Linked DNA regions of Rattus norvegicus. The protein of the gene in region 4 purifies or fractionates together with the protein of the main gene of each other region. This does not show direct contact. Links are inferred from orthologs where the notes say so. Each region holds a gene or a part of one and is shown on either strand. Other genes may lie near its edges. The genes, in order: Upf2, Ddx39b, Pym1, Rbm8a, Ncbp3, Upf3a and Upf1.

Region 1 (3,645 bases), on a different chromosome or scaffold from region 4:
TTAAATTTAGGTTGATTAACCTGAAAAACAAAACAAGAAACACCCCACAGGTTTTCAGTGAAGGGTAGCAATAAAACTGGAAGGGTTATTCCTAACTTAAGAGTACCAACTATTCAAAGAACATCTGTCAGAGCTAATGGTAGCTTCTTTACTCCTTTTCTAATACTGTGGCTATTTCTAAATAGCCTGTCATTTTCTAAGAAATGGTTATCTTTAAAATGCCTTAATAAAAGGTACAAGGTACATGTTAGATATTGAGGTAAATATTAAGCTATCATAAGTGAGCTTTTTCTAAATAGTTACAATGTCTTCCTATCAGCCCACCCAAGCTATTTCCTTTGCAATCTATGAATCAAGAAATAAAGGTAGCTAGTTATATAACATTTATATTAAGAGGAAAGTATGCAAAATACCTATAATTATCAAATATTTATAATTAGTAAGCTTATCATTTCCTGTGAATTGTCTCAATAACCTAGAAATAATAAAAATATAGTGTAATCTTACAAAATAAACTTAAAGCAGCTTCAGAAAAAGAATTAAAATAGATACTAGTGATTGTTTGAGTTTGCAGCAGAAAATTTATTTTTATTTTTTATTTATTTTATGTCTGTGAGTACACTGAAGCTGTCTTCAGACACACCAGAAGAGGGCATCAGATTCCATTACAGATGGTTGTGAGCCACCATGTGGTTGCTGGGAATTGAACTCAGGACCTCTGGAAGAGCAGTCGGGGCTCTTAACCGCTGAGCCATGTCACCAGCCCACGGCAGAAAATTTAATATACAAATTCACACATAAGTAGCTCCTAAGAAGCAGCAAATGATTTAATATAAAAAACAGGTTTTGTTGTTGTTATTGCTTTTTAAAGACAGAGTTTCTCTATAACCTTGGCTGTTCTGGAACTCTCTCTGTAGACCAGGCTGGCCTCAAATTTACAGAGATCTGCCTGTCTCTTCCTCCTACTGCTGGGATTAAAGATGTATACCACCAGCCCCCAGCTCAAATTGATATTTTCAATAGTAGGGTTTAAAGACTTTTACGTTCTCCACAAGCTGTAACTGGGTATAAATATGGAGGAATGTGTTACCTCCATTCCCAATCGAATATCTTCAAGTACTCCGTCCACAACGTGGATCCCAACATCCTCCTGGTAAAGCACTAGTCCTGCTAGGAGGTTGGCTACACAGTGAATACTATTGTATTTCACATTCCAAATGTTTATCATACAACAAATGACATAGTCTTTAACTTCTTGGTCCTGCCAGGGCAACTTTCGCATCTGTCTCAAAACCTACATGAAGAAAATGTTGTTTAAATTATTAAGATAATTTTAAAATCTGAAATACTTTAGTAGGCTTTTATCAGTTTTCTTATGTTACAAAGAGGTAAAATGAGATTTATTAATTATGAAAATTTATTATCATTACTTTCTAGACCTTTCAATAATTTCTACAGTATTTCTCAAAAATGTCCCATAGCATTTGGGTCTTAAAAGAGTCAAATGAGAGCTGATGAGATGGTTCAGTAGGTAATTACACAACACGTGCATGTATAAAAAAATGTACAGAGTAGAGTCAGAAAAATAAACTAACAGTAACTTAGTCAAAGACTAAGCTTGCAGAAAGAAAAAAAGCCATGGTTTGCCAAAACTAGTATATATGATTTGACATAAATAATCTCATTTAAAATCTATTTCTAACAAATAAAGCCATGTTCAGACCAATGAAAGAATAGATGGTTGAGAAACAAGCTGCACAATCAGAGCCACCTAATGTTTGACAAAACCAACCAGTGGAGAACAAAACCAAACAAGACAGCCTCATCAGCAAGTCGTACTGGAACTGGCTATCCATAGGGAAAGAGTGAAACTAGATCTATCCCTCTCCCTTCAGAAAAAATCAATTCAAATGGACCAGACCTTAATGAAAGACCTGAACCTCTCAAAGTGCCAAAAGACACCAGAAGAAACATGTTAGGCACAGGGAAGGCCTCCCCAAAGATCTTAAGAAATAATCCCCCAAATTAACAAAGGGGTCGACAAGAAATTAAAAGACTTCTGCACAGGAAAAAAAATCACCAGAGTGAAGAGATATAGAGAATGGGAATTAATTATTATTGTTGTTTAGATAAATACTGGCAATATCTTCTAATCAATAAGTGAATTAACAGGAATAAATACAAATTGCAATATGTAAAAAAGTGTCCAAAATCCTAAGCCATTGAAAAAAGGCAAGAGTCTAGGTCACCACAATCATAATGGCTATCAACAAGAAAGCAAATGCCAGCCAATTCTGATAACCATTGGGAAGAGTCAGTGGTGGTGGCACAGCCCTTCAGTCACAACACTCAGGAGGCAGAAGCAGGAGAGCTGTAGGTTCAAGCCGGATTGGCCTACATAGTGAGTTCCGGGGCAGTCAGAGACACGTAGAGAGAGCCTGTCTCCAAAACAGTGGTGGAGGGTTGGGAGGAAGAAGAGAAAGAATAGGAAGAGAGGAGGAGGAAGAGGAAGAGGAAGAGGAGAGAAGACAAGAACCCAGCATTACAACTGGGAAGAATTTTAACTAGAATAGCTACTATGAAAGTCAGTGTAGACATTCTTCAAGAAAGCTAATAATAGAACTGCCGTACCATGACAAACCACACCATTGGGGTATGCTAATTCACTGTACCAGAAACCTGAACATCCATGTTTACTGATACATTTATCAAAATAGCTAAGTTATGGGAATCAATAAAGACAGAGGACAGATAAAGAAAACATGGTACACAATGGAGCATTACTCAGCTGTAAGGAAAAATGAAATTATGAGACTTGCAGAAAAATAGAGCAACAGATCATTATGTTAAGCAAGATAAGTCATGCTCATCACATGTTCTCTCTCATGAGGGCTCTAGATCTAAACTTGTGTGTGTGTGTGTGTGTGTGTGTGTGTGTGTGCGTGTGCGTGTGCGTGTGTGCGTGTGTGCATTTGTAAGATACAAAGTACAGAGAAAACTTGGGGACAAGAAGATACAGATGACAGGGAAAGGTGGAATACAGAGGGTAAAGGAAAACGTGCTATTACAGCAGAGGGAGGAGACAAGCAGAGAGCAGAGGGGGTGACAAGAGAAGGGTATCAGAGCGGGTAGGGGCAGGGCAAGTGTAATAACACATTATGTATGGAAAAGCCATAATGAACCCACTATTTGTAACTTAAAAAAAATTAAAAATTGAGTTGGGGAGGTGTTTGATAACCGCTAAGTCCACATAAAAAAAGCCAGGCATGGGGTTGGGGATTTAGCTCGGTGGTAGAGCGCTTGCCTAGGAAGCGCAAGGCCCTGGGTTCGGTCCCCAGCTCCGGAAAAAAAAAAAAAAAAAAAAAGAACCAAAAAAAAAAAAAAAAAAAAAAAAAAGCCAGGCATGACTACACAATGACTACAATTCCAATGCTGGACAGGGGAGGATGGGAAGCTCCCTGAAGTTTGCTGGCAAGCAAGGAAAGGTGAATTTGCTAGTTCTAAGTTTAGCAAGAGAAAACACCTAAATGACATTAGCCTTTTGGCCTTTATATACATGTACAAACACACACACACACACACACACACACACACACACACACACACACACACATGTTCTAAGTCACTTAAGAGAGAAGACAACCT
Region 2 (3,645 bases), on a different chromosome or scaffold from region 4:
AGGTCCTCTGCAAGAGCAGCCAGAGCTCTTAACTAACAAGCCATCTCTCCAGCACTCCCCAATGAAACTCTTAATGAAAGTTTTCTTTTAACCGCACATGGCACACTACACCACCAGAATGTGTGATCTCTTGTGAACATTTACCAGATACCTCCAGAATTTAACTCCAGAAACCTGCACATCTATGAATCCTGGTCGCACATGCTATACTGGGCTACAAGGGCAGGCACCTGCTGCTCTAGTTTAACCCCCAGCACATGGTCCATCCCTAAGAAGGGGCAGTGGTGATGACGTATCAGCACATTCTGTCCCCTGCTACAGAAAGGAGAGCACAAGGCTGGGCGCACAGCCTCACTGCACCGCACCACAGCACCAGGGGAAGCAGCCCGGAGCCATCAGTCATGGGTGATAGATGAGGGTCGTCCTTGCACACAGTGCTCCTATATCAAACACACATCATTTGGCTCCAAAGGGCAGCTCCCTAAACCACCTGAGCTGGGGCCGGGCACACCACTCACCGAGCTGTTCAAGCATCTTGTCACATTCGTCCAAGATAAAGTGTTTAATGTGTTTGAGGTTCAGGCTCTTATTTCGGGCCAGGGCTAGAATTCGGCCAGGAGTCCCCACAACAATGTGTGGGCAGTTCTTCTTCAGCACCTCTTCATCCTTCTTGATAGACAGTCCGCCAAAAAACACTGCCACCTGCCGGCCAACAGGAAAGTCTCACAAGAAAGGAAAATGTTCCAGTCTCCCAGAGCTCCCATTCTCTCCCCATCCCTCTGTCTGAGACAAGGCCTCACTGTATAGCCCTCCCTGGCCAGCCTAGAACCCACTTTGTACATCAGCCTGTCTGTTGCCCAAGGGCAGGTTAAAGGCAATGGGCCACCTTGCCAATACCAGTGCATCCATCCTGCAGTTGACTGTAAACCAGCCATCAGCTGTCAGGCCTCCAGTAAGAAACAGAGTGACTTGCTCACCATGGCAGGGCTAAGGGGGAAGGGCGGGGATGACATTCAGCTTCTCTGCCTCCACTCGAACTCTAAGGCAGGATCACTCTACACAGCCCTAGCTGGCCTACACAATGAGGCACAGGTGACTCCAAAGTCACAGCCTCCTTTACAAATGAAGAAAGCAAGAAGCCCCCAAGGAAGTGTGAGGCGCCAGCAGACAAACAAAACCCACAGGCAAGCTTCCCTGACTGAGGACAGAATGGCTGGCCTGCAGCCTTCGCTTCCTCCTGAGATAAAGGCCACACCACTAGTGCAAACCACTAGGTGAGTGCTGACCTGTGAGCTCTGACACTAGGTGAAACGCCTGGACTTGTTCAATTTCAGGGGGACGGAAATCACCAGGAAGCTTCCTCTGTGGTGACCTCTTCCTTTTCTCAATAGAGTCATGAATGGTTAACACGTGTACACAGGAGCATTCCTTTCCGAAGTGTGTTAGCAGGTATCAACTAAGCTTTCAGACACAAGTTTTGGTCTGTTGCAGATGCTGAGGGGAAAGCAAGCTAAACCTAAGGGAGGCACTAGACTGCCCCCTAGAGGACACTTTGTTGCAGAACCAAGGAAAAGTACAGATAATTCTGATTTTATGACTATGTAGTTAACTGGTGGGGTGAGGTGGGGTGCTTGGCCTAACTAGCTACTCTGCTGACTTGAATACCAAACCTGGCCTCATACTTGATCCCAACCCTCAGAGCATTCTCAGTAACACAGGGTGTTGTGGGACCAGAGAGAAGGACTGCAGCTTCCTGGTAAATGGTTTGCAATTCTCCCCCTCGGTTTTGAGACATTAGCCTAGGGCAGCCTTCAACTCCAGCAAACTCCCACCTCAACCTCCCAAGCCCTGGGTTACAGGAATGAGCCATGGACAGCTTTAGTTTCCAACTATTAGATTCACCCAGAAGGACCGCTCAGCCAAAGAACTGCAAGTCTATTCATTTCTTGGCAGCGTATGATAACTACCTACAACCAGAGGCACAGACACACAAACAGAAGCACAGACACAGACAATGCCTCCAGATCACAAACTATTTTCAAAATCCTAGGAGGAAAAAAAATATAAATACGCTACAATGTTTCTCAAAGAGGCCAGGAAGCTTGCACAGAGACAGGTTAGGAAAACAATGTCAATGCTTGGTTATGCAGAGCAATGGGGACCTCAGAGATCACAAGATTTCTGGATTCCTTTAGCATTTTGCACACTGTCTTTCCTTTTTCTCTTCTTCCACAATTCCCTTTTTTAAATGTCATGCTGGGTTGGACATGGTTGTGGAGATGGTGACACCCGGAGGAGGCAGAGAAAGGCAGGGCTGACTTGGAGGCCAGCCCAGGATACCTCTACCGAGCAAGTTTCAGGACAGCAGGGTTACACAGGAAAATCCTGTGGTGGGATACGCACATATAAGTTGTATATGTAACAATATCTTATTGTGTATACATGGTTTTTGAGTGTGGGGGAAGTGAACGTGAGAGTTAGAGGACACTGTGGATCTGGTGCAAACCTTACATGGTTCTGAGGGAAGGATGCAAGTCATCTTCAGGCTTCTGCAGCAAATGCTTTTACCTGAGCCATTTCTCTGACCCCCACTTTGATTTTAAAGAAACTATTCTCAGTTTCTGGTTCTGCATCAAAATTACAAGTTCCTTTAAAGCATACAATGAAGGCTGAAGAGATGGCTCAGTGGTTAAGAGCACTGACTGCTCTTCCAGAGGTCCTGAGTTCAAATCCCAGCAACCACATGGTGGCTCACAACCATCTGTAATGGGATCTGATGCCCTCTTCTGGTGAGTCTGAAGGCAGCTACAGTGTACTTATATATAATAAGTAAATAACCCCCCTGCACTCAAGCAGCAGACAGATGATGGCAAGCACTCATCCCTGGTGACATGCTGCCTCAACCAAGCAAAACTACATTCTCTATTAAAAATAAAAAAAAAGTGACCCAAGGGCCCCCACCTAACCAGAATAGGAAGTCCACATACATCTCTCCACTCAGGGCCAGGTTACAACTACTTTCAAACACAGCAGGCCACATATGTCCAAGCATAGAAATAAATAATCTCCAAGTTCCAAAAGGATGCCAAGTACAAGGCCATACCACATCCCTTCATAGAAGACACATGCCACTTGTTATGACCAAGAAAGCACCAAACGTTCCGGAGTTAAAGTCCACACCAGAGTGGTTCTAAGAGCATCTAGCTTCCTCTTGCCACATACACTCCCAAACTCTCAAGCAATCTACCCAGCAATACAGGAGAAGAGAACAGAGGCTCTGGCCAAGCCAGGTGGCAAAGGCCTGTCCCAACTACTTAGGAACTGGTATGGCAGGAGCCTCAGGCAGGTTCAAGGCCTGTGGCCTGGGCTAAGCGAGTGCCAGGCCTCCCAGGATAACCTGGTTACAAGACAATCCTGGACATAAGAACAAAGGGGCCTGGAGGTAGCTCAATTCCAGACTGAGTAGCTCAAGGCTCTGGAATGGAATTTTTAATACCAAAACCCAACTAATTACTGAGTGCTGCGATGGCGTCACCTAAAGTTATGAACTCTCAGGAAACACGCAGACTTATTTATTCACAGTGTGGAACCTACAAAGGCAGTTACAGAAAGGCCTGGCATTGACTCAAGTCTCATGTGCCCAGC
Region 3 (4,418 bases), on a different chromosome or scaffold from region 4:
TGCATGTGGACTGCACCCACACATGCACGTGCACACAGGCAAGTACACACATTCACACACATGGAACCAGGAAACCTAAAGAGGGCAAAAAGCTGCCTCTGTGGACTTGAGACAGTCAAATGGCGACTGGTGAGGAGGCTAAAGCGAAGGGGAATACCTGAAAGGAAATGTGTCACAGATGAGGTCCAGGTTGTAGTAATCCTGAGGTGTAGCTGAAAATACAAAGGTACGTCAATGATCTCGTGCTCAGGAAGTAGGGAGTTCAGAGTATTCCCAAGCTGCTACAGACAGAATAACAACAAAAATAAAAACAAAAGGGCTAGAGAGTTGGCTCAGGGATTAAGAGTGGCTACTGCAGAGGACTGAGGACTTGGGGGTTTGATTCCCAGTACTGACTTACACTGGCTTCTAACTACAACTCCAGATCTAATACCTCTTCTGACTTCTGTGGTCACCAACCACACAAATGATGCACAGACATACACACAGGCAAAATAATCACACACATAGAATAAGTCTTTAAAAAACAAATACCAAAAACCCCATCATCTGTGGGCAGTAGACAGGAACACTGCTATTTTGCTACAATAGCATTTGAAAAGCAGAGAAGCAAAAGAACAGCTCACTTTCCTTTTCTACGGAGCCACAGAGATCACAAAGAACAGAAAACATCTCTGTGGCAGGGCAGGGGCCAGATGGAACACATACATAAAAAGAATAAGAAGCTTTTGCTGCAAGCTGCCTGTCATGGTAATACACGCCTTTAATCCCACAACAAGGGAGGCAGAGGCAGGTGGATCTCTACACAGTGAGCTCCAGGCCAGCCAGGGCCACATAGAGAGACCACACCTGGGGACTGGAGGAGGGTTAAAGAAAAAGTTGCTTTTTAAAGGTTGGGCACAGTGGTGCATGCCTTTGATCCCAGCGTCTGAGAGGCAGAGACGTGTGGTCTGCATTGGGAGTTCCAGACCAAGTAAGGGCACATAGTGAGAGCCTGTCTTTAAAAAACAAGACAAAACCAGTTGCTAGCTATAAGACCTACTGAGTAGAGAACATAAGGCAACACTGCTACAACGCTTTGGAATGCAAGAACAGGGAAAGGTGGCAGAAAATCAAGTTGTCATTAAATATTATAAAACAGGAAGTCTACTTAATAAGGAACATATAAAGCAAACCAAGAAGCATACAAGGCACACTTTAAAACACATGGTGTATTACCGCACAATCACAGAATCACTTCTACAAAACCTTAGAGTCAGTGACCACACATGAAGACCAAAATGAGGGCTACAAAAACAATTACCAGATGCTTGCACTGAGTTTTTCAAATGTCTCTCTTATAACTATTTGATCACTCTTAGTTAACATTGCACATTATTCCAAAGACAAGGCAATTACAAACAAGACAAAAACATAAAACTGATTCTCAGTTTCCACACACAAACAGCAGACTTAAACATTTCAGACAGCTGGAATGAAATTCTACTCAAACTTAAAGAAATAATGGGGTTCTCTCAATTGTCAAAGATGTTGAGAGGAAGGCCAGTAGATACTTTCCTGTTTGTTTTCTCTCACTTTAAATGGAAAACTCCATTAGTGAGAAAAGTCAAGCTGAAAGTTAAATTCCTCTTCCCTTCACACCTCTTGGATTTCAGTGACACTTCCTCCCCCACCCCCAAACAAATGAAGACCGGGCAAAGAGTGAGGAAAGCACTATGTAGCAATGAGATCATCAGCAGATACAGCTCGGAGAAAAAAGAATGGAGACAGGGAAAGGTAGAGAGCAGGTATAACAGTAAGAGATGGGGGAGGGGGGAAGAAGGCTGGAATTGGAGGGAACTGATAGTGCAGGAGCTCGTAATGCTGGAGAACCCTGAAAAGGTACGGGACTCCAACAACTAGAAATAGCTGAGGCTCCTAAGGGTCCCGGAGCAGGGGACATTGAAGGACCCCAGGGTTTGGGAGACCGGAAGCAGAGACCCCCCCCCAGACACGAGACCAGAAGGGGGCGCAGGTAATAACCCAAAGGAATGAATGGAGAAAGCGATACGGGGACGTGGCAAAGGAGGAGCCCCGGGATGGGCGTGGCACAAACCCTTTTCCAAGTTTGAACCCCTAACCCAAGAATCCCGAGAGAAGCGGCTCCCGGATTCCCGAACTCACCGCCGGTCTCGTCAGTTACATAGGGAGTCGCCATCTTGAGAACCCTAACCACTTCCGGCGTGAGCGGGCTGGGGTCCCGCCCCCTCCCCGCCGGAAGTGGAGTTCTCCTCATAGCAAGCCACCATTTTAATCTTAAAGAGAGACTGCCCCATTTCTTTGACTCGGGAGGCGGAAAGGGGAGTGTAGACGCTCATAGTCGTGAGCTCTTTTACTACCACCGATACCACTGTTGACCTCCTGATGTATATAAAACAATCCTCTGGATTCGAAGAGAAGTTCCTACATAAGCCTTACTCCAGACAGTCCTCTCAGGCTCAAGGCCCAGTAGAAAAGCTGGTAAAAGAGGAAAGGAAGATGCAAGGCCCGTAGCCTGCACCAAATTCCAGGGCGCTCATTGGCACGAGCAGAAGAGTCTCAGGAGTGCAGGGGATGCACGAAAACCCCGACTAACACTTAAGGTGGGCAGGTCTACTTCGCCTGTCGATCACTCTCTGCCGCCCAGCTTAACTGAACAGAGACCTAGGAAAAGAGCGCGCAAAGATCGGCGCACTGCGGGTCGATCACCTGTGCCCGTGGCCTCAGGGGTGCTGGAGGTTTTCATGACTGAGTTGGCGAGCAGCCCTGGGGATTCAGCGGCGAGGTAACTTCTTGGCCTGCTGCTCAGTAGTGGATCCTCCGGGTCAGAGGGCACAGAGTGAAGGCTTTAGGGCGGACCCAGTCAGTATTCTAATTAGCCGCGCCCAACACCTCGGATTAGCTTCGGCTACCACCAGCAGTTTCACCCTTAAATCTATTGGGACTGTGAAGCCACTCCCTTTGTTAGGTTGTGCCCTGTAGGGAACCTTGTTCTTCAAAGGAACGCCTTAGTCTCGTCCCTATCCCTCCCTTCCCCCTTCAGCAAATTAGTTCCTTTGGGGCTAGGTCCTGTTAAACTTGTTTCCTCTTCTGTCAGGAAGGTGCTGGCTCAAGCGCCTCTCCTTAGGTGTTAGACTCTGCCCTCCTCCTACAAAGCTTTTCCTTAACTCTTTCACCCTCTTCTATTGCTCAACGTCCAACAGTGATGGGGAAAATTGAGAAGGGGAAAAGGTTAGTGACTACCTCAGCAATAGACAATATGTTTCACTTTAAAACAAACAAAAGGAGGAAAAAACTGATTAAAAAACAAAACAAGGGGTTGGGGATTTAGCTCAGTGGTAGAGCACTTGCCTAGCAAGCACAAGGCCCTGGGTTCGGTCCCCAGCACCGGAAAAGAAACAAAACAAAACAAAAAAAACAGGCTGATAACCTCAACAAAGTTTTCAAGAACTCACTAACGCTATTTGCATATACTACATGTTATTACAAGTGTTTACTTCTAATCCCTCACTGTTTGTGTGTGTGTGTGTGTGTGTGTGTGTGTGTGTGTGTGTGTTCACCCATGCCCTTGCTTCCTCTTGTTTGTGTGTACGGTGGGAGGAGGTATGCTGGAACCTAGAGTGTAGCCGAGTGTAGCTAGCATAGCTAGCATAAGTCAGACAATCATTCTGGCCAGTGAACTTCACCCTAAGCCCACCAGCCCCTATCTGTTCATTCATCGATTGTACTTCAGTTCTGTCTCTCTAGTAACCTTTCCTCAGAGAGGAAAAAGAGATGAGAACATGGAATGGTGCCTCTGAAAATTAGTGAGGGAGGTGCATGATTTGAACTATTTCAAGAGCAGTCTCTACAACTCTCCACGGACCTGCTCAGTGAGGGGAAATCCTAATGTGACCTGTTTACTCTTTAATCTCTGGACACTCCCCCACCACTGTACCCCTCAGACATCCTGCCCCCATCTCTGCAGGTTGGCAGGAAGTGAAACTCAATTGTCTGTTCAGTAGACTGGCCCTGGACCCAGCCCTGGGCCCCGGATGTGTACCCCCACCCAGAGGAAGAAGAGGCTGGGAAAACAGGCTTGTTTTTTCCTTTCCCTTTGTTCATTGCGGTTTCTTTCTCTCTGACTTGTATGATGTGGTTGATTAAAGAGATGAGCACCTGGAACTAGAGTCATCAAACGCCTCCTCCGTGGACGTTTCTCTCCTTTCTTCCCCCACCCCCACCACCAACTGACTTGGAGTATGGCAAAGCACAGATCCTAAATAAGGCGCAAAGATGCTACAGTAAGACTGAGTTCCTCTTAACCCTTATTGGAGAAATCATATTCCAATGGTGGCTTTTTTTTCAATGTAGGAGAGTCTTTAATTTTATGCAAGGATTGATTAGAAGAGTAGTTTTGG
Region 4 (4,375 bases):
TCAGTCTACCTTACCAGAAACCACCAAGGAACCCTAAAGTAAAATATACTCATAACTAATTCAACCCACCAACACCCCCCCCCAGCAATTTACTAAAAGGAAGGGCCAATACCAACTGAGAAAAAGTTATGTTTAATATTTGCCATTATGCATTGGGAAGACAGAGATAGGAGCATCAGTTTGAGGCCAGTGTGGGCCACATAGGGACCCACACAGACAACAAATCAGTTACAACAGACACACCTAAAAAAACATCCCAGCTAAAAACTATATATAATAAAGGAATAGCAATGTCTTTGTAGCCCTGGCTGTCTTAGAACTCTTGTGTAGACCAGGTTGCCCCTAACTCAAGAGATCCACCTGCCTCCCAAGTGCTGGAATTAAAGGTGTGCATATTGGTCTAGTAGTACTTAAGCTGGGTTTTTATGTTGTAGGAACTAACAAACTTCACAGTTTAGCACCATATTCAAAGTAGAGCTGGCTGAGCATCTCAGAGCTCCATGTTTTAATTCCGGAGACCACATAAACTGGGTATGATGGCCCATGGGTGCAATGTTAGCACTTGGGAGGTAAGAGGCAAGAATCAAAGTTCTTTACAATACAGTGAGTTCAAAGCCAGCCTGGGCTACACAAGACACTGACATAGCATCTGCTCACAAGAGTGTAAAATTCACTGAACACCACAAGAAAAACCCATTACACCTGCTCACTCTCATGCTCTAAAGAAATGCTGAGCAGTCTCTGTGAGCCTTTCTAGAAACTCAGAAGGCCACGCCACACAGAAGTAGCTTCACAACCACTCAGAAGGCCTCACTGAGGTTGTTTAGAATTTCCAGAACAGTCAAACACAGTTTTAAATGTAGAAAACAAAATGACATTTATTTTTTTCTTAAACTCAAAATTACCAAGTAGGGTAAGAAATTAAATATAAACACAAAGTCCATCCTAGCCCTGTTTATCCAAGGCAGCATAACCAAATAGACTCATGGAGACCACCTGGTCAACAGAGGATTTATTAAGTATCTCATCGGCGTCTTCGGTCTGGACTCCTGCTTCGTCTTCGGCCACCTCTAAGGAAAATGAAAAAACAAAAGGGGAATCAGAAAGATAATACAGTATCCTTCCTTATTTATCCTGCTCATGTTCCCTTCACTAAGATAAATTTGGGGTCTCCACCCCATCATCTTTACCTCCTCTTGCCCTTTGGTGGACCACGAACAAAACACCAGTCAACACTGATTGGCTGTCCCATCAAATCTTGACCATTTAGTCCCTCCATGGCAGCCTGAGCTTCTTTGTATGTTTCATACTCAACTAGAGTATACCCCTAGGGGAACACATAAAAGTATCAAAGCTTACCCAGGAATGACATCACATACTTTTAATCCCAGCATTGGAGAGGCAGTCCAGCCTAGTTTACAAAATGAGCCCAGGACAGTCAGAGCTCTGCTACACAGAGAAACCCTGTCCCCAAACAAGCGACAACAAAAAGTATCAAAATTCTACTTCACCAACTATCAAGTACCCTCTTCCTTAACCCAGAAATGCATACCAACCAGGAAAATTTTGCAGCTCCACACTGAAAAGTACATCACACATCCCCATTATATATACACAACATGCTCATTCTGTTAAACTCTTTCTTGTGAGTAACAAAATCAATTTCCAATGTTATTTCACTCCCTACCTGTGCTTGATCAACCCAGCAAACAAAACATAATCTATGTAAACAATGTATCTAAGAGTTGTAAGTGAAGGAAGCAAGAAAAATCTACCTTCAAGTATCCCGTGCGCCTGTCCAAATTCAGGTGGATATTTTTTATTTCCCCATATTCAGCGAACTTGTCATGGATATCTTCTTCAGTGGCTTCTTCGTGGACTCCAGTGACAAAGAGAATCCAACCTTCAACAGCTGTAGAGGAAGATGTTGTATGAACATGTAAAGATAAAAAGTCCAATACTCAGGAGACAGAGGCAGGCAGATCTGAGTTTTGAGGCTAGCCTAGTCTACAAAAAGTTTCAGGACAGACAGCCAGGTCTGGTACACAGAGAAACCCTGTATCCAAAAAAGAAAAAAAAAAAAAACTAAAAGAAAAATCCCAAAAAGAACAACAATAAGCAATTCCTGAGATTGGTTTAAACAACTCTTTACTTTCCATTTAAGAGCCAATAAATACAAACAGACTCCCCACAGGTCCTATTTACTTACAGCGCTGTGGTCCAGGTTCATCGCCATCCTGCTCCACACTGTCATAATCTTCCCGCATCCGCGCTCGGGACCCCTCTTCTAAAAGAATGCATACCAGATCACCGAAAACTGTCCTCCAAATGTGTTCCCATCGCACCCCCAAATTTGCGGACTTCTCCCTATTAGATCACTCTACCCTATTTCCCCACACTCACCAGAACCAAAACCGCGGCCCTTCCGTTTCTTCGCTTTTTCTTTTAGTTTGTGGATGCTTTCTAAAGTTCCAAGTGAGAAAATAAACAAAAATGAGTCATCTTTAAAACAAACAAACAAACAAACAAACAAACAAACAAACAAAACTGTCTCGTTTCCTACACTATCTGGAAGCTGACGGCACGGACTCCAGCTTCAGTCCCTTCCCGGTTCCACCCCTAATTCCTTCCCAAGGGGGAGGAGTCTTATCTTTTCGAGACCCAGTTTGTTGGGTTCCATCCCAGGAAAATTTCTCCTATTGCACTCTCCTCTCGCACCTTCCCCTCTTTCCCTCTTCCCGCAGCTGCCTCCACTCTACTCACCGTCACCATCCTCATCCATGGCGAAATCCTCGCCCCCGGCCTCGTGAAGATCCAGCACGTCCGCCATCTTGCTTCTCTCGGCGCTCTCTGTGCGTCTAGTAGCTAGGAACCTCGGGAAACTGACGTAGAGGGAAAACGTCACTAGTCAGGCCGACCAATCAAGGTTGCTGTCAAGTCCCGCCCTCGGCGCGGTGAATATTCGCAAATGTAAGCGGCCCCTCTTTGGAGTGGAGATGGCAACCTGGCGTGATTAAACGCCTTTAATCCCTGTACTCCCGAGCTCTGGTGGAGCGCTTCGAGTTTGAGGCTGTAAATTACATAGTTTGTGATTGTGTTTTGGGTTTTTTGCTTTTTGGGTTTTTTTTGTTTTTTTTTTTTTTTTTGAGACACGGTCTCTCTATATAGCCCTAGCTGGGCTCGGAGTTTCAGATACCCAACTATATTCCCCTTCCACATACTGCTGGAATTAAAAGCGTGTGCTACCACGACGTGCTCCAAGACTACAGAGTAAGACCCTGTCTCAAAAAATAAAAAGTAAAATAAAATGGTTTCGGAAGTTCTCCTACAGCCAAGTTGAGCAGGTTGGAGGTCGGGAGCTCAACCGCATTGGGACAAATTTAAAGGGTGAGTGAAGCCAGTGACTTTCTCTTAAAACCTTCAACTAAGAAGAAGTCCTTTGATCCAAAGCTACGTGTATGGATTTATTTAAATGACTTATAGACTGTGGCCCAACTAATTGAAGAATAGCAAGCTGTGTTCAGAAAGTTCAAGAATCTAGTAGTTGCTTAGTCCCACAAGGCTGATGTCACAGCTGGTCTAGAATCCTGAGATCTCCAATGCCGGGAAGAAATGGGCTTAAGAGCAAGGTAAAGAGCAAAAGCTTCCTCCATCTATGTTCTTATATAGACGTCCAGCAAACGGTAGGGGTCAAATTAAAGTTATGTTTCCCTGCCTTAAGATTTGGATTAAAGTAAGGCAAGTGTCTTCCTGCCTCAAGAACTGGATCAGAGGTGTGCCTTCCTACCTAAAGCTTGGACTAGAAGTGGATCAACCCACTTCACCAAACAGAAAATCTCTCAGGTGTGCTCCATTTCTGGATTTGTAGTTCATTCCAGAGATAGTCAAGCTGACAACCTAGAGTAACCATCACAGGTGGGTTTGTTTGTCAGACCTGACTGGCCTGAAACTCAATATGGATTTTACCCACAAAGTTCTGCCTGCCTCAGCGTAAGCCACCTGGATCTTCCTTATTTGTGTTTGTGTGTCCGTAGTGAAACTGAGTACAGTTGCCTGACGAGGCCAGAAGAGGATATCAGATCCGCAGGAGCTGGAGTTTCAGGCTATTGTGAACTGCCCAGTACAGGTGCTGGGAACCTAACTCAGGTCCTGGGAACCTAACTCAGGTCCTCCCCAAGAGCAGCAAGATTTCTTTACCTCTGAGCCATCTTGCCTCCAGCACTGTACTTAGGGAAGTAGCCCCCACCCCATAGCTTCTATTTTTTTGCTTGGCATTTTTTTTTCTCTAATGGATTTTAAAACAAATTTACTCACACTAATATAAACAGGCAAGGTTTTCTAATTTGCATAAATAATGTAAAAAGTGTTTTGCCCA
Region 5 (3,645 bases), on a different chromosome or scaffold from region 4:
AACAAAAAACAAAAAAAAAAAACGAAACAAACCTGAAATTGACAAAACGCCAAGAATAAAAAACTCCTGAGTGCCTAACCATAAATGGACATCTGTATCACCCCTTCAGTCTTAAGAAACACTGTGGAGGAAGGGCCAGGAAAGAACTAATAGCTGAAGAAGAACTTCCTGGGTATGGCATGATTGCAGCACTCATCTCAAGCTGTGATTCTGGCAGAAACCTACCCAAGACTGAGTTCATCAACTCTGTTATGGAATAGGGACGGACTCACAGGGTCCCATGATTTATATGCAATTTGTAGTTGAGTAGGGAGGGAGAAGTTGTCTTCAGTGACTACTGGTAAGATACCCGTGCTCCTGTAAAAAACCCTAACAAAACTCAAGGGGTCACTCACACACACAAGAGAGCTGTCAAGGTAGAAGGGAACTAGTTGAAGAGGAGTGGGTGGGGACAGGAGAGGCCAAGATCAAACTATCAAAATGCATTATCTCCATGTACATTGATGTCATAATGAAGTCTATTATGTGCTAATAAAAACATTAAGATAGACAAACAGCCATCATATTTTAAGGTTTTGGACTCACCATGAATTGCTCAGAATTCCTTTCATGCCTCCATAATTTGGATTTCCATATTTCATGTAATATTGACTTCTTCTGGCTGCTCCAAGTTCCTTTTTGTCATCTAAAGTTAATAGAACAGTTACTTAGGGTTTCCTATGAGAGTGAAAATAATATTGACTGGTTGATTGTTGATGTTTGTATTTTGAGGCAGGGTTTCATGCAGTTCAGATTGACCTTAAGTATGCAATATAACAATAAAAAGTCCAAATAATCCATCTATACTACTTTTGGATATATGCCCAAAACAAATCTGCACATCCATGATTACCAAAACACTATTTGCAACAGCCCATTCTATCAACCCCTGAAAGACCTTCAGTACCCTCATGGCACTGTTCCAAATTAGGACATACAGTGAAAGTTCTACCAAGATAAGATACCAGCAAGCACATTTCTTCTGCTGGAATATAGGGGCACAGAAATTATGCAGAGATAGAACACCAAAGCTACCTATCCTCATATGGCACTATGGTAGACACACGGATGGCAACACTGTCAACAATGGACTCCTACCATATGCTCCTGTTCCCTAGGAAGTTGTGGCAGGGCCAAGCTCAGCACTTTAAGACTCATTTATCTGTTATTTGGCACAAAATGCTGGCTTACTTGCTGGTATTAATGAAAGTCAGCATCCTCTATGACAAGACACATGAGAACTTCATGAAGCAGGCAGACATGGTAGACAGTGGGCTCTCCCAGTGCATAAGGGGCGTTTGGTATTCATTCTCTACTACACTGAGGGGCCTAGGTTGCTCAACTTATATCTCACCTGAAACCAGCCCAAGACACCAAAGGCAAAGGTATACTGCACACATAGCTCTGGTTCAGGAGGAGTTTCTGCAAAATCAGACTTCTACCAACATGCTAGATGCTGGCCTAGGCCTTGGTGGGAGAATCCCTGATCCGGTGATTCCAGGTGGATTCAAGTGTAGTGACAGTGGAGCTGAAGGAACACCTTTACCACTGGCCATCGCTTTGTTACCTACCAGGATGACCAGGATGGACACAGTGGTAGACTCAGTGTATGCTGAAGGAGTCTCATTCATTTCAAAGCCAGCTCTCTTGCCACAGACACGCGTCTGGATGACGGCCTGGGTCAGACCAGTATACCCTAACTAAATCCTCACCCACAGCAGCACTTCAGGGGTGGGTTAGAATGTTAGAGGGCGGGTTGGGGATTTAGCTCAGTGGTAGAGCGCTTGCCTAGGAAGCGCAAGGCCCTGGGTTCGGTCCCCAGCTCCGAAAAAAAGAACCAAAAAAAAAAAAAAAAAGAATGTTAGAGGGCACCCTGAGCACTGCCAATGCCCTCTGTTCCAGTGCTCAGTACCTACGGCTCAAACAAAAACCCGACTGTAATAAAACTTACTTCATGGGGTTGGGGATTTAGCTCAGCGGTAGAGTGCTTGCCTAGCGAGCGCAAGGCCCTGGGTTCGGTCCCCAGCTCCAAAAAAAAGAAAAAAAAACAAAACAAAACAAAAAACAACAAAAAAAAACCTTACTTCATAAAAACAGTGTCAAGCCAGATTAAATGTGGCTCACATTTAATCCCAGCACTTGAGAGACAGAGACAGGTAGAGCCTTGAGTTCCAGGTCAGCCTGGTCTACAGAGCCAGTTCTAGGATAGCCAGGGCTACACAGAGAAACCCTGCTTTGAAAAACAAAATCAAAGGCTCACAAAGCACCCTGTCTGTTTTTCTATGTGGATTTCAGCACTGGGTAAAAGGGGAGAGGTCAAAAGGGAAAGGGTGGGAATATATGAACACGAAGAGGATAAAATGGGATCCAATACATCATAAGCATGCATGGGAGGTAACAGTGAATAAATACTAGCAAATACAAATGTGAAAGAGATGGCTTCTCAGTCAGGGAGCTGCTTTTTCCTAAAGGATTTGTTTAAAAGGAGCTTCGGCATTATTTGAGCTAGCTTCCAGTCAACGGGAAAGTTTTACTTAATAATTTCATCATTCTAACCAAAAATTAATACCAAATATCAAATTTACCTTTCGTAGCAAATCTCATGAACAGTCTGTTTCCTTTAGCGAGTTTGTTAGCTGGACGAAGGTCATTTCTTAACAGAGACTCTTCTTCTACCTGAGACAATGTGTCCAACTTAAGAGAAAAGGAAAAATACTTTCAATATAAAAATTCAAGTATTTCATACTTTTTCTGAACAGTCACCACTAGGAAGCATTCTGTCATTTATACCCATCAGTGTTATAGCACCTGCTCCTCTGGAGACTATCTCCCTTAAAAAGTAATCCCCATCATTTTCTATCTCTTTTATTATAAACACTTCTTAAAACTACGTGCATTATATGTGTCTGTGTGGAGCTGTGTGCACATGAGTGCAGTTGTCTACAGAGGACAGAACAAAGCGAGACACCCTGTAGTGGGTATAGCGAGCAGCCATAAGCCATCCCACATGGGTGTTGGGAATGGAACTTAGGTCCTCTGAAAGCACAGCACATACCATCCCTGTAGCCCTTAATCTCTTTCCCTTCATCCTTTACAGTCTTCATAGTGCTGCTGTGTCTCCTAACACCATGCAACTGTATCTGACTTCCCCTCTAGAATATAATTACAGCGAGGCAAGGGCTTGTTTTTTTAAAAAAACAATAGCTTGTTCCCAGAATTTGGTATATAGTAAACACTTACCACTTTTTAATATTTAAACATGAAATGAATATACTCAGCTGAAGACACAGAGCAGAGGCACAGCACTCGCCTAACATGTGCGAGGCCCTAGGTTTGTCCCAGCACCACACACACACACACACACACACACACACACACACACACACACACACACACACAAATGTTTCAAATGAATACTCTCCAACATTTCTAACAAACCCTACTTGCTTTCTCTTATTTTATTGATTAGGTAACACTTCAAAGTGTTTCTTAATAAACCCATTTTCTCTTCTACACAAGTATAACCACTATTCTAAGATTCCAAGATGAACTGTTACATCCACACAAACTAAAAGCCAAGAGTCTGGTGCACGGTAGAAGGCTCCA
Region 6 (4,406 bases), on a different chromosome or scaffold from region 4:
AATGGTATCTTTCGCATCCCCACAGCTCTTTACGCTCTGAGCACTCAATGGCATTTCCGGCGCTCCAGCCTCAAAACTCCAAAGAGTTCCATGGTCTTCAAACACACACACAAGAAAACATGGTCAGCCTGTTGGCAATAGCCCACTACTTACTACCAATTTCTAGCCTAGTTTTCCGTTACTGTGATAAAATACTGACCAAAAGCAACTTGTGGGAGGAAGAGATTTAGTTCCTCTTATAGCTCTCAGGTCACATCCATCATTGGGGAAATCAGAGAAAAAATTCAAGTAGGAGGCAAGAACTAGCAGGGCCACGGGAAAACGCTGCTTATTGGCTTACATATTACAACCAAGGACCACCTGCTGACTCTCTCACATCCATTAGTGGAGAAACTGTCCCACAGGCAAATCTGATGAAAAGAAAGCCCCAACTGGTCTTTCCTTAGGCCAGACACACAGGTGGGCAGTCAATGGCTTTATTAAGGGGGCTAAAGCCAGCCCAAGGTAACTTGGCTCTGAGCTTGTAATGTTCCAACTTTCTTCACTTGGCAAGTTATTATCCATCGGCCTTGTACAGTCTTAACTGTTATGGGTTGTTTTTTTCCTGACAACACGTTCCCTACATCAGCCTCTCAGACATGTGTTTTCTTCCTAATAAGCTTAGCAGGCCATCATAGCTCTTGGTCAGCGTTAACTGGTTATTCCAAACTGACCTGGTTCAAATGGTGGGCTCAGACGCCTGGCTTCCCTTGCAACGTGAGGTACTGGAAACTATTCCTGCACACGCTTCTATAGAACTTTGATGTTTGAAGCCCTGTAGATGGTTTTGAGTCGGCTTATTTAAAACGTCACATTTCAGGAGTGCCACAATCAACACGGGACGTCATTGTGAAGCCTGGTTGCACTTAAAGTAAATCTCAATTTCTGAAATTCTCTCGTTCTCCTTTACGCTTAACCTAAGGAGAAAAGGTTACTATAAATAAAAACCATAGCCAACGCGAATAAGAAAAACTGTATTGTTTGTCTGCAAAAGACAAATATTTTTGCCAGACGGTGGTGGCCAATGTCTCTAATCCTAACGCTCAGGAGGCAGAGGATCTCTGAGTTCCAGGAGAGCCAGGTCTACAGAGTGAGCTCCAGGACAGCCTTGGCTACACGGAGAAGCCCTGTCTCATCGGAACCAAACACCTAGGAGGGAGGGGGAGGGGGCCGGAGTGGGGGAGAGGTGGAGGGAGGAGAGAGATGCGTTTAATTTTGGGGGCTGCCCCAGCGACTGCTCTCGGCTCCTGGGGCCTCCCGGTCCCACACTGTCGCGGCCTCCATCCAGGTCGCAGGTCAGCAGCGCCCCGGATGTGCGGAGCGTGCACCTGCTCTCGGAGCGGCAGCACTGATTTCCCTCACTGTGGTCCCTATCCTAGGAAGTTCACGGGCGCTGGGCAACACTGGCACCGCCCCTTCCCCGTCAGGGCTGGGGAGGGGACACCGGACACCGAATGCCAGGGAGGGGCTGCCTAGTCCTCGCGAGGCTTCGTGCTCGCGGAGGTGGCGGCGGGCGGCCGGTGGGGATGCGCTCGGAAGAGGGGGCCGGAGGCCTGGGCGCAGTCCTTTCTGCGCGGGGCCCGAGCTGGAGGGAGAAACTGTCCGGAGCAGAGACCCATTTCCGCCGCGAGTCTACGCGGAATGAGTCGGCGGCGCCCCCGGCCCCGGCCTTAAGTGAGAGCGGGGTCGGCAAGCCTCGCGAGGAGAAGAGGACGGCCCTGAGCAAGGTGGGGGCGGGGCCCGCAAGTCTCGCGAGAGGACGGCTTTAAGCCCCAAGGGCGGGCAGGGCTTGAGGAGGGCGGTGCGGCTTGCTCCTCCCAGGGGCGGGGCCTCGTCTCCGAGGTGACGCCTGTGGGATGGGTTAGGATTAAGGAGCGGCGGTCCCCAGGATCTGGGAAGCTCCCCAATGGGAGTCGCATTCCCCGGGATCCGGGTCCCCGACTTGGGGAGCCGCGGTCCCCCGGGCTCTGGGAAGCTCCGTGATGGGGAGTCTCATTCCCCGGGATCCCGGAGCAGGGGAGCCGCGGTTCCCCGTGCTCTAGGGAGCCCCGAGTTGGGTGGGCGGGGAGGGTGGCAGCACCTGAGTGATGGTCGTCGCAGGTTGTCCTCCGGCGTCTGCCCCCGGGCCTCACCAAAGAGCAGCTGGAAGAGCAACTGCGTCCTCTACCCGCGCACGATTACTTCGAGGTGGTGGCTGCGGACCTCAGGTAAGGGGCTGCGGCGGGACACCCACGGGAGAAGGACCGAGGACCCCCGCGGCGCTCACAATTGCAACCCCCTCCCAGCTGTCAGTGCACGCCCACGTTAGGAATGGCCGAGCCACCGCATCAGTCGAAAGGGAACCTCCGTGCTCCCGCGGTCCCGCGCTCTTTTTCCTTTGCGTTTCCATGCCTTCCTCCGCGTAGCTTTTAATACACTGTATGGTGAGGAAAACCAGACTGCATCCCTTAGACACGTTGAGGCTGGAGTGTTTCCGCTAGTGAGGGTCCAGTAACTGAGCTTAGGGCCTGGAGAAGTGGAATCTGTCATTGCATGCACTGGGTCCATGTCAGCACCACACACCCAGTCAGACAGGTTCCCTGCCTGTGGTGATGGGAGCTACACCCGGCTGACCTAACCAGCAGAAGTTAGAGCCGCTGGAATTCAAATATTTATTTTTATGTCCTTTTATGGTTTTCTTTTTCATTTGTGTCATACATGCTTTCCTTTGGGATACCAGTTTTTGTTTTTAAAAAAAAAAAAGGTCTATCCAAGTTAAAATATAAATAATTGTTAAATGGGTATCATTTAAAAACCACAGGTAGTTTTCAGATGGCTGAAGTTTAGAAAAACAGTTAAAAGAACAGGGAGTTACTCAGTGGAGTCCCGGTCCCAGCTTGAAACTTGCACCCTCTGTACAAACAGATTGCTCTAAACTTTAATATTCTCTGTGAATCGGAATGGAAGGATCCCTACCTGAGAAAAGAGCTGTGGCTGAGATGGGGATAATGGTTTAGTGTTTCTTGGTACCAAAGCACTGGTCTACTCATCCAAAAGGAACTAACAGTACAACATGTCATCCATGAAGGAGCTAAGACTAGTCTTGTTCTTGTTCAGATGTACCAGAAACAACCCTAAAAGTACCCATGGTGTTTGGGTGACTAATGGAGTCTAGTATTTTAACCTTGGCTGTGTACAGTAGAGGCGCTCCTGGATAATTAAGGCTTCAGTTAATGGGTGGTTTTTCTCCTCCTCTTCCTCTTCTTCCTCCTCTTCCTCCTCTTCCTCTTCCTCTTCCTCCTCCTCCTCTTCTTCCTTCTCTTCCTCCTCCTCTTCCTCCTCCTCTTCCTCTTTTTCTTCCTCCTCTTCCTCCTCCCCCTCCTCATTCTCCTCTTCTTCCTCCTCTTCCTCTTCCTTTTTTTGCTAAGGAATACCCAGATTGTTAAAATTAACTGAGCAGTGATTCTTTGGCATAAAAAAGTGTTTGCTTATTCATAAAAGATAAGGCCAAATTAAGCGTCGTACAGCTTTACTAACCATCGCTGTCTCGGGTTTCAGCCTCTACCCTCACCTCTACTCCAGAGCGTACATTAATTTTAGGAACCCTGATGACATCCTGCTGTTCAGAGACCGTTTTGATGGATACATCTTCATTGGCAATAAAGGTTAGTGAGTTTCAGTTAACTTCTCAAATAAGGTCATAAACGTTTACTGTTACTGTATCGCGTGCTGTCGAGGCTTATAAACCAAAGAATCCCAGACATTCTGTGTGAGGAGAACAGGAATGCACCATTGCTGGAGAGTGGGTGTTCGCGCGTTCCTTTTCCAAGTTACATTTACGCAGGAATCCAGAGTACTGGCCATGATTGCGGTTTCTTGAAAGTGTTGCAGAGGGGCATATGGTCATGAATAGCAGCCCTGGAGCATGCGGTGCGGTCTCCCCCTCAGGGACTCTGCTCCTGAACTTTCTGCATCTGTTTTTATATTCTTCCTTCCCTGTCCTGTCCAACTGCCCTGTGTTATATTTTCTGCCTTAAGGTTTGTAAACATTCTGTAGGAAGCTCTTTTCTGCCCTCCCCAGACATTCTTTCCCCACCCATCCCCCTCCCAATACTGAACTCCTCCATCTCTCCTCCACAACTTCGCGGTCCCTTCTCCGTTGTGGCGAGCAGAAGGTCAGGTTGTAGTTTCTGTGAGTCTGTGAGTGTCAAGCAGGTTTAGGGCTCAGGCTATTGGGCATTTTAGTTCACTGCTGACTCCTTTATTCAGCTGATCTCTTCATTTTAAATATTAGTAAAATATATGCATCTGAAATCATCTTATCTCCCCCTCCCCTTTTTGAGATAGACTCTTTTAGCTCAGGCTGGCCTTAAAGCCTCAGTGATTAA
Region 7 (4,194 bases), on a different chromosome or scaffold from region 4:
GGGCCTGGGCCTCTACACACAGCATCTTTTTTGTGTTTTGAGATTATGTAATGCTGGGTGTCCTGGACATCGCTCTGTAGACAAGACTGGCTTCAGAGTTAGCAATCCCCCTGCCTCCGACTCCTGAGTGCTTGAATTTTAAGGCACGTGCCACCACATCCAGCCCTGTACTGACTGGGAGAGCCACCTCAGCAGAGGCAGCCACCCTCCTGGGTTTTCCCCTCCCAATAAATCTCCTATGAGGTTTGTTGTGTGCTGTGACTTTGTTGTATTCCTTGGCTCCCAATTGCCAGGATACCTTTTGGAACACAGTGAAACACTTTCTCTGGGGAAACCTCCCCTGCCCAAGCAGAGCGGATCCACTTCTGTGGGGGAAGGCCTTTCCCTTCAGAGCTGCGACACTTACACATCCTCCACTGAGAGTGGGAAGGTAGCACAGGGAGGAAGGAGTGTGTTCCTCTGAGTCTCGATTCTGGCTGTGGATGCTCATCAGTTGGTGGCCTTTGCCTAGCATACAAAAGCTCTGGGTTCTGTGGACAATATCGAATGTACAGTCATCGCACCACCAGGGGCTTTGAGGCAGGAAGATTCCCCAGAGTTCCAAACCAGCCTGGGTTACTATATGAGGCCCTCTTTCAAAACAGGCTAGAGAGATGGCTCAGAGGCAAAGAATTGGCTCCCAGCACTTACAAGAGGGGCTAACAATCATCTGTAACTAGTTCTAGAGGATCTGACCCCTTCTCAGCGATTCCCAGGCTAGCCCGGACCAGTGGGACTTGATCTCAAGATAAAAGAAAGAAGCAGTTATCTTCACAGGCTTCAGGAGTGCCAGGGGTAGCAGTGACTACCATTTGGCAGAATCCCTGCTCTCTACTCATTCAATCGATGAATAGTAAAGATGGCCACGAGTCAAGTGGCAGACGGGGTAACTAGAGCTCAAGGAAGGCAGATGCGCGGTCCCTGTGCCACAGTTTCTACACCCAAGACCTTCTGGAAAGAGCCTCAGTTAGCACCTAATGAACATGCAGCCCAGAAGCCTGGCGGTGAGGATGTCGCAACCCCGCATGCGCATCACTAGGCAGCGGTTGGGGCGGAGCCAAGTTCGCGAGCCCAGGTCCTTTAGGCAGTTGAAGGCCCGCCTCTTCGCGCAGGCGCACGACGAATTCCGCCCTCCCGCTCTGCTCCTAGTGCCCCGGTGCGGTTGGCTACTTTCCGGGAGGGACGCGCGCGCCTGCGCCGGCGTCGGGCTCGCGCACGCGCACCGCAGCGGTGGCGGCGGCGGCGGTTCCTGTCCAGGGGGCTGAGAGCGGCGGTCGGCTTTGAGGCGAGCAGCGTTGCGGAGGGGCGCGGCAGCGGCGGCGGCAACTCAGAGCTCGGAGCCGGAGTCCGGGCTCTGCTTCCAGAGGCCGGCTCGGAGCCCGCCCGGTCCTCAGGGCGGCGGCAGCGGCTGCTCCGGGTTACGGCCTAGGCCTAGGCGAAGCCTCGGGCTCGAGTGCGGTGAGGCGCCGGCGGAAGGCGCGGCCCGGGCGGCAAGATGAGCGTGGAGGCGTACGGCCCCAGCTCTCAGACACTCACCTTCTTGGACACTGAGGAGGCCGAGCTGCTCGGTGCCGACACCCAGGGCTCCGAGTTCGAGTTCACCGACTTCACCCTACCCAGCCAGACGCAGACGCCCCCCGGCGGCCCCGGCGGCGCGGGAGGCCCAGGCGGAGCGGGTGCAGGCGGCGCGGCCGGCCAGCTCGACGCGCAAGTGAGTTGAGCGGCGCATGGCGGCGCCGGAAACCGGGCGGGAGCGGGAGCTGCGGCGCCAGGTCTCAGTTAACCAGCCCTGGGCCCCTGTGAACCTGCGCCAGGTCCGAGTTTGTGCTGGTCCGAGCTACCGGCCCCAGGTCCAGTTAATAAGCCTGGGTGTATGCTTCCTACTCTGGCTCCTTAAACAAAATCCCTATTGACCATCTCTAGTTACCCACCCTAGATTCCTGTTTAACTGCCCAGGTACCTGCCACCTGCCTTGGGTCCTTGTTACCTGTCCTAGATCTCTGCTACCCTACCCTGGTTCCCGTTTACTTACCCCTTTCCCAGATCTCTGCTTCCACCTTCAGCTACCTTTTCCAATACCTCTCCCAGGTCTACCTGCCACAGTCATTGCCATCTGCCTCAGGTCCCTACTACATACCATCTCCTCTAATTCCCTGCCTCTTGTCCTAGCCACCTGCACCTAGTCTCTGCTACCTGTCCTGTTTTCCTCCACCCAGCTAGACTGGGCAGTGACCTGCATTAGTGTCCCTCCTCCTGTATAGCACAGAATCTGCTCCAGCTCAAGGCTTATGCCAGAACTGCCCTCACTCCCCTTCTAGGTGGGTCTAAGGTGACCTACACTAGGTTTCTCTGGCCCTAGTGCTATCCTCTGGACCCACACTGTCCTCCAGGGTCACCTATTTGGCTAGTCCAACCATCCCATCTCACCCTCTTGCCACTTCCATCCACCACGCCTCCAGCCAGGGTTCAAGTTTGGTGGAGGGGCTCTCTGGAGCAAATCTAGGGTTTTGGCGCCTCGGGTGGAAACAGCCCACTTTGTGGCTGGTTAAGGTGGCTGAGAGACAGCTGCTGGTTCGTTTTTTCCTTCTGGGTTGCCTGTTGCTGAGACCAGTGTTATGTAACTCCTAGGCTCTGCTTGGAAAAGTTGGGTTTGAGTTTTGTTCCTTAGAGGCAACCACAATGGGTATCACACGGGTGACTGTGCCCTGGGGAGGGGCTTTTGTTTTGAATGACAGACTGTCGGTGTAGGCTAGGGACAGGCCATCCCTACCTCCCTGTCAAATGGCTGGCTTGGTGTTGGGCACCTCTAGGCTTTGTTTTCCTGTATTCTCCGGGGAGCTGCCGACTAGAGCCACAGGTGTTCTTACAGTCCATGTGTGTGCTTAGGGCTAGGGAGCCACCACCAGTCTCCAGCAGTGATCTCAGACCGAGTTCCGGGAGGGCCTTCGAGCTGGCTGGTTGAGTCATATTTGTGGGTAGACCACCCACTTGGGCTCATTTTCAGCCCTAATAGGAGAAGAAGGCTGAGTCAGCCCCTACTGCGGTGCAGGATCAGGTGTGCCTGCGTGTTGTTTCTAGCTATTTACCTTTAGCGTAAGGAGGTGGAGAGAGGGCAGGTTGCCTGGAGGAGTGAAGTGGCCCAGAAGGCCAGTCCTCCTGTTAGTTTCCCCACTAGGTAGACCTACTTACCTACCTTCCTTCCTTCCTTCCTTCCTTCCTTCCTTCCTTCCTTCCTTCCTTCCTTCCAGCCTTATGGGCCTGGAGAGGGGCACTGTGCAGCAGGCTGTGATGGCACAGCTGGGGAGACCAGGAGTGGAAGTGGGGTGCTTCATCTCAAGGTCTTTTAGCTCTAGCTAATGTACAAAGCAGACTTGTGCTATGCGTGTGCTCACATGGGTGTGCCCTGCTCCGCCAGTTGAAACCATAGATTGAGCCATGAGCTGCCGCCCACCTGTGGCCTCTCATCATAAGGGAGGGAGGGAGGGAGGGAGGGAGGAGGGAAGAGATGGAGGAAGGGAGGAAGGGAGAATGGGAAGGAGGGAGGGAGGGCCTTCAATCCTGTATTAGGAAGACCTGTATCTGTGGGCAGAAAGTGAGCAAAATTGGAAAGTGGAAAAAATCCTTTGCACACCCAGTGTCCTCAGCCACCAAAAACATTGCTTTTCGTTATTTATCCTTGGAGGTGAATGGGTCACACAGGGGATCCTAGGAGGATAGACCCCCTACTCAGTAGGTTGAGCTGCCCCTGTGGGCTGCTGGCAGTTCTCTTCTGGCTTTATTGAAGCAGAATCATGGAACCTGCATATATCCCTGGAAAGCTGACAGGACAGTGGCCTTTTGGGCCACCATCATTAATACCAAGTAATGTCTCAGCATCCTGAGTCCCTGTACCCCCAGCCTCTCTCTTCAGCCACCAAGAATCCTGTGGCCTCTGTGGATGTGAATGTCTCAGGCCCTTCCTTTGCTGGATAGATGGCATAGTATACTTGTCCTGTGTCTCTCATGTTTGTGGTTCATTACTTTGGAGTGCAGACAAACCACAGGGCCCTGTTGTTACTGTCATAACCTGAGTGCCCCTGTGCTGGTATGTGTTGGTGTATTCTTTTTGGGACTGAGTGGCTGCACTGCACTGAGCCGGAAGGTACCTTGGGAGAA

What was found.
Region 1: the proteins of Rbm8a (region 4) and Upf2 purify together in Homo sapiens (co-immunoprecipitation; 6 studies listed by BioGRID and IntAct, with this or other methods). This does not show direct contact. The link is inferred for Rattus norvegicus from reciprocal best matches to the Homo sapiens genes RBM8A and UPF2.
Region 2: the proteins of Rbm8a (region 4) and Ddx39b purify together in Homo sapiens (co-immunoprecipitation; 4 studies listed by BioGRID and IntAct, with this or other methods). This does not show direct contact. The link is inferred for Rattus norvegicus from reciprocal best matches to the Homo sapiens genes RBM8A and DDX39B.
Region 3: the proteins of Rbm8a (region 4) and Pym1 purify together in Homo sapiens (co-immunoprecipitation; 11 studies listed by BioGRID and IntAct, counting the BioPlex papers as one, with this or other methods). This does not show direct contact. The link is inferred for Rattus norvegicus from reciprocal best matches to the Homo sapiens genes RBM8A and PYM1.
Region 5: the proteins of Rbm8a (region 4) and Ncbp3 purify together in Homo sapiens (co-immunoprecipitation; 3 studies listed by BioGRID and IntAct, with this or other methods). This does not show direct contact. The link is inferred for Rattus norvegicus from reciprocal best matches to the Homo sapiens genes RBM8A and NCBP3.
Region 6: the proteins of Rbm8a (region 4) and Upf3a purify together in Homo sapiens (co-immunoprecipitation; 4 studies listed by BioGRID and IntAct, with this or other methods). This does not show direct contact. The link is inferred for Rattus norvegicus from reciprocal best matches to the Homo sapiens genes RBM8A and UPF3A.
Region 7: the proteins of Rbm8a (region 4) and Upf1 purify together in Homo sapiens (co-immunoprecipitation; 7 studies listed by BioGRID and IntAct, with this or other methods). This does not show direct contact. The link is inferred for Rattus norvegicus from reciprocal best matches to the Homo sapiens genes RBM8A and UPF1.

The regions. Positions count from the first base shown.
Region 1 is NC_086035.1:77,172,137-77,175,781, forward strand, and holds part of Upf2 (regulator of nonsense transcripts 2), read right to left. Parts: intron 1,295-3,645; coding exon 1,091-1,294; intron 21-1,090; coding exon 1-20. UniProt on the Homo sapiens protein: Involved in nonsense-mediated decay (NMD) of mRNAs containing premature stop codons by associating with the nuclear exon junction complex (EJC).
Region 2 is NC_086038.1:3,583,054-3,586,698, forward strand, and holds part of Ddx39b (spliceosome RNA helicase Ddx39b), read right to left. Parts: intron 703-3,645; coding exon 519-702; intron 466-518; exon of another isoform or gene 391-465; intron 1-390. UniProt on the Homo sapiens protein: Involved in nuclear export of spliced and unspliced mRNA. Component of the TREX complex which is thought to couple mRNA transcription, processing and nuclear export, and specifically associates with spliced mRNA and not with unspliced pre-mRNA.
Region 3 is NC_086025.1:1,761,124-1,765,541, reverse strand, and holds the start of Pym1 (partner of Y14 and mago), read right to left. Parts: upstream 2,833-4,418; 5' UTR 2,765-2,832; coding exon 2,728-2,764; exon of another isoform or gene 2,276-2,727; coding exon of another isoform or gene 2,164-2,275; intron 213-2,163; coding exon of another isoform or gene 158-212; intron 1-157. UniProt on the Homo sapiens protein: Key regulator of the exon junction complex (EJC), a multiprotein complex that associates immediately upstream of the exon-exon junction on mRNAs and serves as a positional landmark for the intron exon structure of genes and directs post-transcriptional processes in the cytoplasm such as mRNA export, nonsense-mediated mRNA decay (NMD) or translation.
Region 4 is NC_086020.1:186,852,539-186,856,913, reverse strand, and holds Rbm8a (RNA-binding protein 8A), read right to left. Parts: upstream 2,879-4,375; 5' UTR 2,831-2,878; coding exon 2,764-2,830; intron 2,464-2,763; coding exon 2,404-2,463; intron 2,288-2,403; coding exon 2,210-2,287; intron 1,913-2,209; coding exon 1,776-1,912; intron 1,328-1,775; coding exon 1,191-1,327; intron 1,071-1,190; coding exon 1,025-1,070; 3' UTR 112-1,024; downstream 1-111.
Region 5 is NC_086028.1:58,181,133-58,184,777, reverse strand, and holds part of Ncbp3 (nuclear cap-binding protein subunit 3), read right to left. Parts: intron 2,734-3,645; coding exon 2,625-2,733; intron 686-2,624; coding exon 586-685; intron 1-585. UniProt on the Homo sapiens protein: Associates with NCBP1/CBP80 to form an alternative cap-binding complex (CBC) which plays a key role in mRNA export. NCBP3 serves as adapter protein linking the capped RNAs (m7GpppG-capped RNA) to NCBP1/CBP80.
Region 6 is NC_086034.1:82,467,818-82,472,223, reverse strand, and holds the start of Upf3a (regulator of nonsense transcripts 3A), read left to right. Parts: upstream 1-1,537; 5' UTR 1,538-1,565; coding exon 1,566-1,766; intron 1,767-2,139; coding exon 2,140-2,246; intron 2,247-3,576; coding exon 3,577-3,683; intron 3,684-4,406. UniProt on the Homo sapiens protein: Involved in nonsense-mediated decay (NMD) of mRNAs containing premature stop codons by associating with the nuclear exon junction complex (EJC) and serving as link between the EJC core and NMD machinery.
Region 7 is NC_086034.1:19,109,284-19,113,477, forward strand, and holds the start of Upf1 (UPF1, RNA helicase and ATPase), read left to right. Parts: upstream 1-1,254; 5' UTR 1,255-1,534; coding exon 1,535-1,750; intron 1,751-4,194. UniProt on the Homo sapiens protein: RNA-dependent helicase required for nonsense-mediated decay (NMD) of aberrant mRNAs containing premature stop codons and modulates the expression level of normal mRNAs.